Linked DNA regions of Arabidopsis thaliana. The protein of the gene in region 3 purifies or fractionates together with the protein of the main gene of each other region. This does not show direct contact. Each region holds a gene or a part of one and is shown on either strand. Other genes may lie near its edges. The genes, in order: E1 ALPHA, LTA2 and RPT2b.

The links.
Region 1: the proteins of RPT2b (region 3) and E1 ALPHA purify together in Arabidopsis thaliana (affinity purification with western blotting, with the first as the bait; one study listed by BioGRID). This does not show direct contact.
Region 2: the proteins of RPT2b (region 3) and LTA2 purify together in Arabidopsis thaliana (affinity purification with western blotting, with the first as the bait; one study listed by BioGRID). This does not show direct contact.

What each region holds. Positions count from the first base shown.
Region 1 is NC_003070.9:22,049,241-22,052,994, forward strand, and holds the start of E1 ALPHA (pyruvate dehydrogenase complex E1 alpha subunit), read left to right. Parts: upstream 1-1,892; 5' UTR 1,893-2,127; coding exon 2,128-2,806; intron 2,807-2,892; coding exon 2,893-2,972; intron 2,973-3,339; coding exon 3,340-3,417; intron 3,418-3,754. Other genes in the region: SNL5 (SIN3-like 5), read left to right, coding at 1-73, 156-244, 322-460, 568-720, 799-959, 1,048-1,162, 1,254-1,430. UniProt on the Arabidopsis thaliana protein: The pyruvate dehydrogenase complex catalyzes the overall conversion of pyruvate to acetyl-CoA and CO(2).
Region 2 is NC_003074.8:9,458,431-9,462,184, forward strand, and holds the start of LTA2 (2-oxoacid dehydrogenases acyltransferase family protein), read left to right. Parts: upstream 1-2,002; 5' UTR 2,003-2,201; coding exon 2,202-3,104; intron 3,105-3,188; coding exon 3,189-3,380; intron 3,381-3,502; coding exon 3,503-3,590; intron 3,591-3,677; coding exon 3,678-3,748; intron 3,749-3,754. Other genes in the region: AT3G25850 (Cysteine/Histidine-rich C1 domain family protein), read right to left, coding at 1-524; AT3G25855 (Copper transport protein family), read right to left, coding at 1,178-1,419, 1,656-1,740, 1,826-1,837. UniProt on the Arabidopsis thaliana protein: The pyruvate dehydrogenase complex catalyzes the overall conversion of pyruvate to acetyl-CoA and CO(2).
Region 3 is NC_003071.7:8,690,666-8,694,419, reverse strand, and holds the start of RPT2b (AAA-type ATPase family protein), read right to left. Parts: upstream 1,854-3,754; 5' UTR 1,685-1,853; coding exon 1,211-1,684; intron 1,131-1,210; coding exon 885-1,130; intron 483-884; coding exon 313-482; intron 209-312; coding exon 1-208. Other genes in the region: LCV1 (uncharacterized protein), read left to right, coding at 2,186-2,314, 2,663-2,715, 2,792-2,901, 2,984-3,151, 3,241-3,338, 3,480-3,606, 3,721-3,754. UniProt on the Arabidopsis thaliana protein: The 26S protease is involved in the ATP-dependent degradation of ubiquitinated proteins. The regulatory (or ATPase) complex confers ATP dependency and substrate specificity to the 26S complex. Acts redundantly with RPT2A in the regulation of gametogenesis.

The DNA.
Region 1 (3,754 bases), on a different chromosome or scaffold from region 3:
ATGCGACACCCGGAATGATTCTCGAGTTTTCTATGGGAATGATTCACTCTATGTGCTTTTTAGGCTTCATCAAGTAAGTGCTACGAAACAACCTTCTCATGTTCCTCAAATGTCAATTGTCTCAGTCCAAACCGCTAATTCTGCTGATTTTCCAGATGTTGTACGAGAGAATACAATCAGCAAAGATACATTCAGAGAGGAAATGGAAAGCTCCAGATAGCACATCTACTGATTCTTATACCAGGTGGTTTATTTTCTAAGCATCATTGGTACTTTTTAATTGAAAAAATATTATTTCCTAACTGATATTTGAAAGCTTAGGTTCATGGAAGCCCTTTACAATTTACTTGATGGCTCTAGCGACAATACAAAGTTTGAAGATGAATGTCGAGCTATTATCGGAGCACAATCATATGTTCTCTTCACATTGGACAAGCTAGTTCAAAAGTTTGTTAAGCATGTAAGCTTCCATTTTACCTTGTTATCGTCTTGACTCTGCTTCTGTTCTCTCTCCTTTATTTTTGTTTGCTCCGCACTAATCATTTAAGTGGCTTGGACATGCTTCAGCTTCACGCAGTCGCAGCTGATGAGACAGACACCAAGCTTCTGCAGCTATATGCATACGAGAACTACAGAAAACCAGGAAGATTCTTTGATATAGTGTACCATGAGAATGCTCGAGCCCTTCTCCATGATCAGAACATATACAGGATTGAATATGTATGCTTCTCTTGATATGTGTGGATACCTGTTTATATGTTCCCATATACTAATCTGTATTTGCAAATTTCTGTGCAGTCATCTGCCCAAACCCGTCTCGGAATTCAACTTATGAACAGCTGGAATGATCAGCCTGAAGTTACAGCTGTAACAGTGGAACCAGGTTTTGCTAATTATCTGCAGAATGACTTTCTTTCGTTTGTCAGTGATGAAGAGAAACCCGGACTATTTCTGAAAAGGTGAATGAAGCAATGATTAGAGCATAACCTTTTTTCGTCTTCAGTTGTGGTAGTACAGTTAGTAATCACCTTAGCATACTCTTTTCAGGAACAAGGCAAAATTAAGTGGTCCGGGTGAAGAATCTCTAGGGATGTCACGTGCCTTGGAAGGATTGAACATTATCAATGAGGTTGAATGTAAGATAGCTTGCAGTTCTTTCAAGGTAAAATACTTTCTTGTGAATCTCTTGCACTGATAATCTTTTCTCTTTTCACATGTATATATGATTGATGAGAGTTTACAATCTTCATTAGGTCAAGTATGAACCACACACAGCAGATCTTTTATATAGAAGAAAGCAGAAGAAAGCAACACTGAATCCAACTGGACCTGAAAATGTTAAAACCTCTGATAGTAGTGAACTCTCGAGAAAGAAACGAATATCGCGCTTTCACATGAGTCTTAACCGCAGACTTGTCGCCTTGCCTTAACTCAAGAACGCCGTAAGTAACCCTCTTGTCTTTTATTTGCCTGTGGTGATCAATACTGCAAATCATCAATAATCTCTAACTCACGATAAATTGTGCAGGTGTGAAGTTCTTTGCTGAGAATGAGATATGCAAGAATGAGTAGTAGTAGAGAGAGACTAGAGAATAACTGTCTTTGACAAAGATTCTTGCATCATTTTAGGCTCAAAGAGATTCACATGGCAACAACCATAGTTTTTATCTTCTACAGTCTACACTGCAGCTGGAGCCGCCAGTTTTGCTGTATAGTGTTAGAATATCTTTTTTTTTTTTAAGGATGATGCTAAAATTGGATATTTTTAATTCATTCATTGAACAATTATTGAATTTTCCTTCTAATGTTAAATTCTCTTTCAAATTAATAATCTCTTTAATCACATGTTTTATTTATTTATTTTGGTTTATCCATTTGGTTATTTATCTTTAATCACATTTGAGTTTGATTATATAATATGATTTTAAGAGAATATGAATATATATTGACTCTTTTATCACAGGTGTCACGTGACTCACGTGAGGCTGTGTACGGAAAACCTTCTTATCCTCTCAGAGTCTCTTATATTAGGATCGCTATCTACTGCTTCACTGAAATTGTCCTCTCAGTTCCTACGCGAAGTTTTCAACAGATTCGCCGGAGAATCTTCGAATCAACGGCGGAGAAATGGCTCTATCACGCCTCTCATCACGATCCAACATCATCACTCGTCCCTTCTCCGCCGCCTTCAGCCGATTAATCTCAACGGACACAACTCCGATCACAATCGAGACTTCGCTTCCTTTCACAGCTCACTTATGTGATCCACCGTCACGCTCCGTCGAATCATCGAGTCAAGAGCTTCTCGATTTCTTCAGAACCATGGCGTTGATGCGACGTATGGAAATCGCAGCCGATTCGCTTTACAAAGCGAAGCTAATCCGAGGGTTTTGTCATCTCTACGACGGCCAAGAAGCTGTAGCTATAGGCATGGAAGCTGCGATTACAAAGAAAGACGCGATTATTACTGCTTATCGTGATCACTGTATTTTCTTAGGTCGTGGTGGTTCGCTTCATGAGGTTTTCTCAGAGCTTATGGGAAGACAAGCTGGTTGTTCTAAAGGGAAAGGTGGATCTATGCACTTCTATAAGAAGGAATCGTCGTTTTACGGTGGTCATGGGATTGTTGGTGCTCAGGTTCCATTAGGTTGTGGTATTGCTTTTGCTCAGAAGTATAACAAGGAAGAGGCTGTCACATTTGCTTTGTATGGTGATGGTGCTGCGAATCAGGGACAGTTGTTTGAAGCTTTGAATATTTCTGCTCTTTGGGATTTGCCTGCAATTTTGGTCTGCGAGAACAATCACTGTAAGCATTTTTGCTTCTTTCTTTCTTTCTTTCTTTCTTTGTAGGTTTGTTTTGTCGTAGTATCTGATTGAATTTGATCTGTGCAGATGGAATGGGAACTGCTGAATGGAGAGCCGCTAAGAGTCCATCTTACTACAAGCGTGGTGATTATGTTCCTGGACTCAAGGTCAGCTTTTGAATCTTATTTGTAACAAGGATTGATGTGTGAGGCTTGTTAAGATGAGAAAGGGAAGTTTTGATTGGGTAGATGGATTAGTGTCATTTCCTGAATGATATAAGTTTCTTAGTTTCCATATAGAAACAGGTAGAATGCAAGTCTTAAGTAACTTACTACTACTCAGCTTTCATTTATAACCTCTCAGTTTAGAGATGAATGTGACTGTCTTATGGATAATGATTGTCATGAATCTTCTATTGTTAACAGAGATATGGTGTGCATCATTACCTTGTTCTTATTAGGTTTCTTGTAACCTGCATCAAGTTAGCAACTTTCTTTTGAGTTTGACCGGTTGCTGGTTTGTATGGATAAACAGGTAGATGGTATGGATGCATTTGCTGTCAAACAAGCTTGCAAATTTGCTAAGCAGCATGCGTTGGAGAAGGGGCCAATAGTAAGTTTGTATTTTAGTATTATCAGACGTTTTGTTTTTTTCCCCTTTGGTCCTTACTCATCTGGCGCATTTTGTAAATTTGCTATGAGCAATATCTAGCTGTCCTGTAGGACGTGAAGTATTAATCTTTCCTTTTGCATTTTTTAGTTGATATTTACTTCCCTTCAGTTCCTCTTTTTGGACACTGCATTCCAGTAGCTGAATATTGATGGGGTGGCTGGTTCTTTCTGTGCAGTTGCAATAGAAATTACGCTGTATCAGTGTATATCAAAGAAGTGTGTTTTTGATATCGCTGTTGTTCATATAAGTAGTAGCTTTGGTTTCCAATTTATTTTCC
Region 2 (3,754 bases), on a different chromosome or scaffold from region 3:
CGAGAAATGCGATGATCATGGCAGTTGATGCTTATAACTCGTGGTAGATATATACAATCCTTGTGGAACATCAAATTACATTCAAGACATACATAAGGATTACGCTTACCTTCTACGCTACATGCATTACAAGTAAATGTGACCACTCTCGGCAAAAGAGTAAGCATATGCATATGGTTTTTTGGGTGATAAATACTTGATGGTGGTGGATCTTTAAGACATTTGAGATCCATGTTGATGTTGCATATCAAACAATGAAAAAAATCATCAAGAAGATAATCTCTACAAAAATGACAATGGTCACCTGCATAGCCCAATGCCTCGAGTGTGTAGATTTTGAGAGAATGTTTGCATGGAGATGGATGCAGAAGTGAGCGCTTGATGCATTCCTTATGCCCCCAAAAATAGCACTTATCGCAGAAATAGCCAAAACCACCTTTCTTTTTGCACAAAATGCAAGAAAATCTGTCCAATTTCTCATATGCTAAAGGATGATCGTGAAAAGGAAACTTCTTTTCGGTCATGGTGAGTGTGTGGGGATTGGGTGAATCTAGAAAGCATAAATTTCAATCAAAAAAAGAAAAGAAAAGAAAGAAGAAAGCTTCACTTGAATATTTCTCTTGTAAGGCCTCTTCATTAGTGATCCTCATTGTCATTGATAGTCGTAGGCATTTTTGTTGTTCACTTGTGTTGTTGAAGTCTTCCCCTCCATTTAAAAATATGAGTAAAATTGGGCTGTTATTTTAGTTGTGGTAACCAACTCACATTTAGAATTTCAGAAAGCTAAGATTTCAATAATGATGTGTATTGTAAAAGGTTTATATACTCGGCTCTCCCAAATGTTCTAAACAATAGTTTGGGTTTCGTTTTTCCCAATTACCAAACAAAATTTTAGATATATGTCCATTTCGGAACGAGACCTTGTCTTTACCGTATTCGTCTCGGGTTTCTAGTCCCATATCCGCTCGTATAATTAATTGTTTTGAGACAATGTAATGCATTGAATATATATCAACTTTTATATATACTAGGTGATCATCCGCACTGCGCTACAGAGTTTTCTATATATTTGTACATACAAACAAACGTGTTGGTCATTATATGCCATTGTTTCTTCTAATAGTTCTCACAAATGTTTAGGCATTGGAGGATAGAAGAACAAACGAATTAGAGATATCTAACACAACAATGGTGTGGTCATCTGATCAGGTTGATTAGAATATTCATGTGGCTGTTCATACGGTAGCTCGTGCTCGCTTCCTTCTTCTCCTCCATGGCCATTGGTGAGATCTTCAACTTCGAGAATCTCAACCCTCCGTTTCATCTTCCTTTGCAGTTTTAATGCAACATCGGATGGTCGAAACCGTCCGCAAAGGATTACTTGACGTTCCTTTTTGTTGATCATGTGTGTATCAACTTCTTCATAAAAAAGTATCCAAAACATGTGTTAGTATTGAATTTTCTATAAATCCACCACGACTAAACCTACATAAAATGGTGCATATAGTAACATCGATAAAATTTAACGATGTCTTTCTAAAATTTTCAGATTTTCCACTCAAAAAATCCTCCTTGAACTTTAAATCTTATTTTCATAACATCCTTCTTTGCTCATTTCATCCACATATTATTTTATATAACCAATATAAACCAACCTTTCATATTGATGATAATCCTCCTAGCTTTTCTACAACAAGCATTGCAATCCAAGTTAATCCTCATCACAACACAACATTGCTTCTGCATTTCACCACCCCAAAAAAAAAAAAAATTATCACAAATCCAAGAAAATTATTGTTCAAACAAATAAAAGAAAACACAAAACCTTTTCCGACATGAGACGAAAGAGCAATATTGTATGATATGTTTTTGGTTAAGAAAACAAAAGTATACTTATAAATTAAGATTTTGGAATCTGATTCTCTAACTTAGGTAGAGCAGAGAAGATATATAAGAAAACTGGTTTTGTTATGTTACCTAATATCCATTGAGAAGCATCTAAATTTTCTTTGTTTCTAGATGGTTTAACCTAAACCGAAGTTTCAGATAAATTAATCCGGTTTAATTATATATCCGGTTATTAAACTGGTAACTGATACAAATGTAGGCGAAGACGCTCAACGAACTTCAACCTCGTCTTCTCCGTCCACTTCACTCTCTCTAAACTCTCTCTCAGATCTCTCTCTCTCTGTGATTCAACAATGGCGGTTTCTTCTTCTTCGTTTCTATCGACAGCTTCACTAACCAATTCCAAATCCAACATTTCATTCGCTTCCTCAGTATCCCCATCCCTCCGCAGCGTCGTTTTCCGCTCCACGACTCCGGCGACTTCTCACCGTCGTTCAATGACGGTCCGATCTAAGATTCGTGAAATTTTCATGCCGGCGTTATCATCAACCATGACGGAAGGCAAAATCGTGTCATGGATCAAAACAGAAGGCGAGAAACTCGCCAAGGGAGAGAGTGTTGTGGTTGTTGAATCTGATAAAGCCGATATGGATGTAGAAACGTTTTACGATGGTTATCTTGCTGCGATTGTCGTCGGAGAAGGTGAAACAGCTCCGGTTGGTGCTGCGATTGGATTGTTAGCTGAGACTGAAGCTGAGATCGAAGAAGCTAAGAGTAAAGCCGCTTCGAAATCTTCTTCTTCTGTGGCTGAGGCTGTCGTTCCATCTCCTCCTCCGGTTACTTCTTCTCCTGCTCCGGCGATTGCTCAACCGGCTCCGGTGACGGCAGTATCAGATGGTCCGAGGAAGACTGTTGCGACGCCGTATGCTAAGAAGCTTGCTAAACAACACAAGGTTGATATTGAATCCGTTGCTGGAACTGGACCATTCGGTAGGATTACGGCTTCTGATGTGGAGACGGCGGCTGGAATTGCTCCGTCCAAATCCTCCATCGCACCACCGCCTCCTCCTCCACCTCCGGTGACGGCTAAAGCAACCACCACTAATTTGCCTCCTCTGTTACCTGATTCAAGCATTGTTCCTTTCACAGCAATGCAATCTGCAGTATCTAAGAACATGATTGAGAGTCTCTCTGTTCCTACATTCCGTGTTGGTTATCCTGTGAACACTGACGCTCTTGATGCACTTTACGAGAAGGTGAAATTGAATTGAATGAAACAGATGAAGCTGATGTTGTATTGAATGATGAAGCTGATGTTAAATCACTGCTTTTGTTTACAGGTGAAGCCAAAGGGTGTAACAATGACAGCTTTATTAGCTAAAGCTGCAGGGATGGCCTTGGCTCAGCATCCTGTGGTGAACGCTAGCTGCAAAGACGGGAAGAGTTTTAGTTACAATAGTAGCATTAACATTGCAGTGGCGGTTGCTATCAATGGTGGCCTGATTACGCCTGTTCTACAAGATGCAGATAAGGTAAGCATAAGCAATAAAGTTGTAGAAAATAGCTAGCGTGTGAGTGAATTAACACACACACTTGGTATTATTAGGCTGGTTTCTTTAACTGAATGTGTGAGTCGTGTTGGTTGTTTTGATAGTTGGATTTGTACTTGTTATCTCAAAAATGGAAAGAGCTGGTGGGGAAAGCTAGAAGCAAGCAACTTCAACCCCATGAATACAACTCTGGTACTATTCTTAACGAATTGTTTAGATGACAAACATGTGAAGTGTGTTTAAGGATTTTGATTTAAGGGATATATCTATGGAATGCAGGAACTTTTACTTTATCGAATCTCGGTATGTTTGGAGTGGATAGATTTGACGCTATTCTTCCGCCAGGACAGGTATAT
Region 3 (3,754 bases):
ACGTCTTCTTGTTTTGATATCTGGAAGAGGGAATTCGATTTTCCTGTCGATCCGGCCTGGTCTAAGAAGTGCCGGGTCAAGACTCTCGATCCTGTTTGTCGCGAGAATAACCTTAACATCTCCTCTTGAATCAAACCCATCAAGCTGGTTCAGTAGTTCCAACATGGTTCTTTGGATTTCACGTTCCCCACCTGAGTTTGCGTCATACCTGTTTCAACCACCATTTTATATCACATATTAGATACCATCTCTTGAGCAAAATCAAGAACATTGTTTATCAATGGATCATGTTTATGTTGTATTTAGGCATACCGCTTGGTGCCAACAGCATCAATCTCGTCTATGAAAACAATAGAAGGAGAAAGGTCATCAGCAACCCTGAAAAGTTCCCTCACAAGCTTGGGACCATCTCCTAAATACTTCTGAATCAGTTCACTACCGACAACACGCAAGAAAGTAGCTGAAGTAGAATTTGCCACTGCCTGAAAGAATAACAAGAAATAACACTTGCTCATCTCCAACAGTTCCGAATTTAACAAGCATAAGAGACACATTAAAAAGAGGCACACTGCAACAATCCATGCTTGCGACATAGACAAAAAGAAAACGAAGACATTAAATCAATCCACGTGACTCTGAAAATCTTCCTCTATCTACACAAGTACTATGATCTAATATCTCAATTCTAGGTGATCAAACCAAAGAAGCCACTGTCCTGACTAATTCATCTTTCTAGTGAAGATTGATAAAAGACAGAAAATTTTGCATGCATGACTTGACATAAAACCAATCATACTTGGGAAGTACCATTATGTGCTGTATTAAGCAATTAACAACTAGAAAGCTTATTATATAATGGATACACTATAGGCTAAAAGACGAACCTTAGCAAGCAATGTCTTCCCAGTGCCTGGCTCACCATACAAGATCACACCTTTTGGTGGCTTAATTCCAATATCTTCATACAGCTCGGGATGTGTTAAAGGTAACTCAACAGCTTCCTTAATCTCCTGAATCTGAGCTTCTAAACCTCCAATGTCAGCATATGACTCCAAAGGAGCCTTCTCCACTTTCATCACAGACACCATTGGATCCACTTCATCTTGAAGAATCCCAACAACAGAGAGTACCTATCACAAAAATAATAAAAAATATCACATAGAAGAATTGGTTCAACGTTTCCATGGAAGAGCATTGTAAAACTCAATACCTTGTTATGCATCAAAATAGAGCAGCCAGGTTCAAGCTGATCCTTATCAACGAAAGACAAAATGCCAACGTAGTACTCAGGACCAACCGAAGAAGAAACAATGGCGTGATTCTCATCAATAAGCTCTTCAAGATTGCCAACACTCATAGGTGTACCACGAAGATCATCAACTTTAGATCTATCTTCCTCAGCTTTCTCTTCCTGAGGTTTCAATCTCTCCTGATTCGCTACGAACTCTTCCTCCATAAGCAAATAGTCCTTGATTCGCTCCAATTTCAGCAATCGAAGCTTACATTTAGTAGAAGGAGTCACCGTCGGCAATCTCGCCGCCGCTTCAGGTCCTTTCTGCTTCCGTTGCTTCCTCCCTACACGAGCAGGTGGTGCGGCTGGTTCGAACTTCTTCTCCTTCTTCTCTCCACCATCTGGTTTCCGATCTCCTTGCCGATTCAATCCGCCGGAAGGTCCTTGACCCATTGTGCTTCGTCTCTCTGAGGTTTCTTGCTCTCGGAGAAACAAATCTTTTAATCTGATAACGGGAGGAGATGATTAAAGTGGGCTTATTATTTTAGGCCTTTTTACGATGTGAAAAACTTAGTGGGCCTTAGGTATCGCAAATTTTTTTAAAACTGATTCAACCTAAGCTATTATCTGGTTTAGTTCAATAACTCGGTTTAATTATCTTTAATTTCGGTTTAAGTTTTGTAAAAGTCAATTCGTTGGTTTGGTAGTTGGTACGGTCAATCGGTACAGGTAAGGAACTTTTCTTTTGCCATTTGGGGAAATCGAATCAAAAATCAATTTCATCGTCTTCTCTATCTGTCATTCATCATCATCACAATCATCATCATCAAATCTCAGGATCTTCGAGGTGGTTCTTCTGTTTCGCAACTAGCTTCTAGATTGTGATTTACAATCTTCGAACTCTCGGTGAGTTTCTAGGTTTAGGGTTTTATCTCTCTTTACACGACAATTGTTATGGCCAATCGAGAAAGAGATCGAGAGCTTCTGATTCCCGTCGCTGATTTCGGCGACAAAGACGATGGTTCTTCTTCGAAGCCTTCTTCTTCTTCCTCTGCTTCTTCTTCGCATCAATCCGGCCACGAGGTCTAGTTTTTGTCACCTGATCTAAAAACGTGTTCTTCGTTTTCTCATTTCAAGATTCATGCGAAACTAACAGTAGAATTGGATGATAGTTATTCATAGATTTGGTCGATTCTGTCTCCCCTTAGTTCAAAATCTTGGAACTTGTTTTGCCCTAGATTCAGTATATCACAAGAACACTTGCTTAGATAAGTTTGGTAGTTGTGATTGAGTAGAGTATGAATTTGCATTCCAAGTTGTTGTGGTTGGAATCATTCAGATTCTTGAGTCTTTGTATTATGCTCATTCATGTTTTCAAGCATGTATAACTTATAGAGCATTGTGGCCTGATGCTTTAGCTCTTTTCTGCAGACTTTAAGCTTGTTCATTAGGGGTTGGGCGTCAAAGAAGTTCATGACAGGCTGGTAAGGAAGAGTTGAAATTTTGGCATTTGATGAAAACTTCCACAGATTAGTTTTAAGTCTCCATTGCTTTTTGCAGTGTTATCCTACTTCCTATTGCAGTTACTTTCTATACAACATGGTGGTTTATTCACTTTGTCGATGGATTCTTCTCTCCAATATATGCACTACTTGGAATCAACATATTTGGTAAGAATTTGAATGGCCCCTCTTTATCCTATTAACAACTTGATATCGGTTTCCCACAATGAGTTTGATTATTGTTTTGTAGGTTTCGGTTTTTTGACTTCCATTGCATTCATCTTCTTGGTTGGGGTGTTCATGTCTTCGTGGTTGGGGGCATCGGTTCTGAACTTGGGAGAGTGGTTTATCAAGCGGATGCCATTTGTTCGTCACATCTACAACGCCTCCAAGCAAATCAGCACTGCCATATCGCCTGGTCTAGCTTGCTTATAAAAATCTTGTTTTGCTTCTCAACATTAAGTTGATCTCCTATCTCATCTTGTTCTTATCCATTTCTCATCACAGATCAAAATACACAAGCTTTCAAGGAAGTTGCAATCATCAGGCATCCCCGTGTAGGTGAATATGCATTTGGCTTCATTACATCAACTGTTGTTCTCCAGGTGAGTGAAAATACTTTGCTCAAGGATTTTGTTATTCTTTCCAGAACGTCTCCTTGAGGATACAAACAATTTCGAGTTATATGGTTTACCATAATTTCGTAATCTTTTTACCCAATGTAATAATGCTATTCGTTCTTGCAGAACTACCCAACCGAGGAGGAACTTTGCTGTGTATACGTTCCCACGAACCACCTTTACATTGGAGATATACTACTTGTCAACAGTAATGACGTTATCAGGCCAAACCTCTCTGTCCGGGAAGGAATTGGTGAGATTTCAGAATCTAATTGTCTATACTAGATACATTTATCGTTTGTTATATAGCATTCAAATTATTTTGTGGAAAGATACTGAACACTGTATACTCATTCTTCATCTGCAGAGATTGTTGTTTCCGGGGGAATGTCAATGCCGCA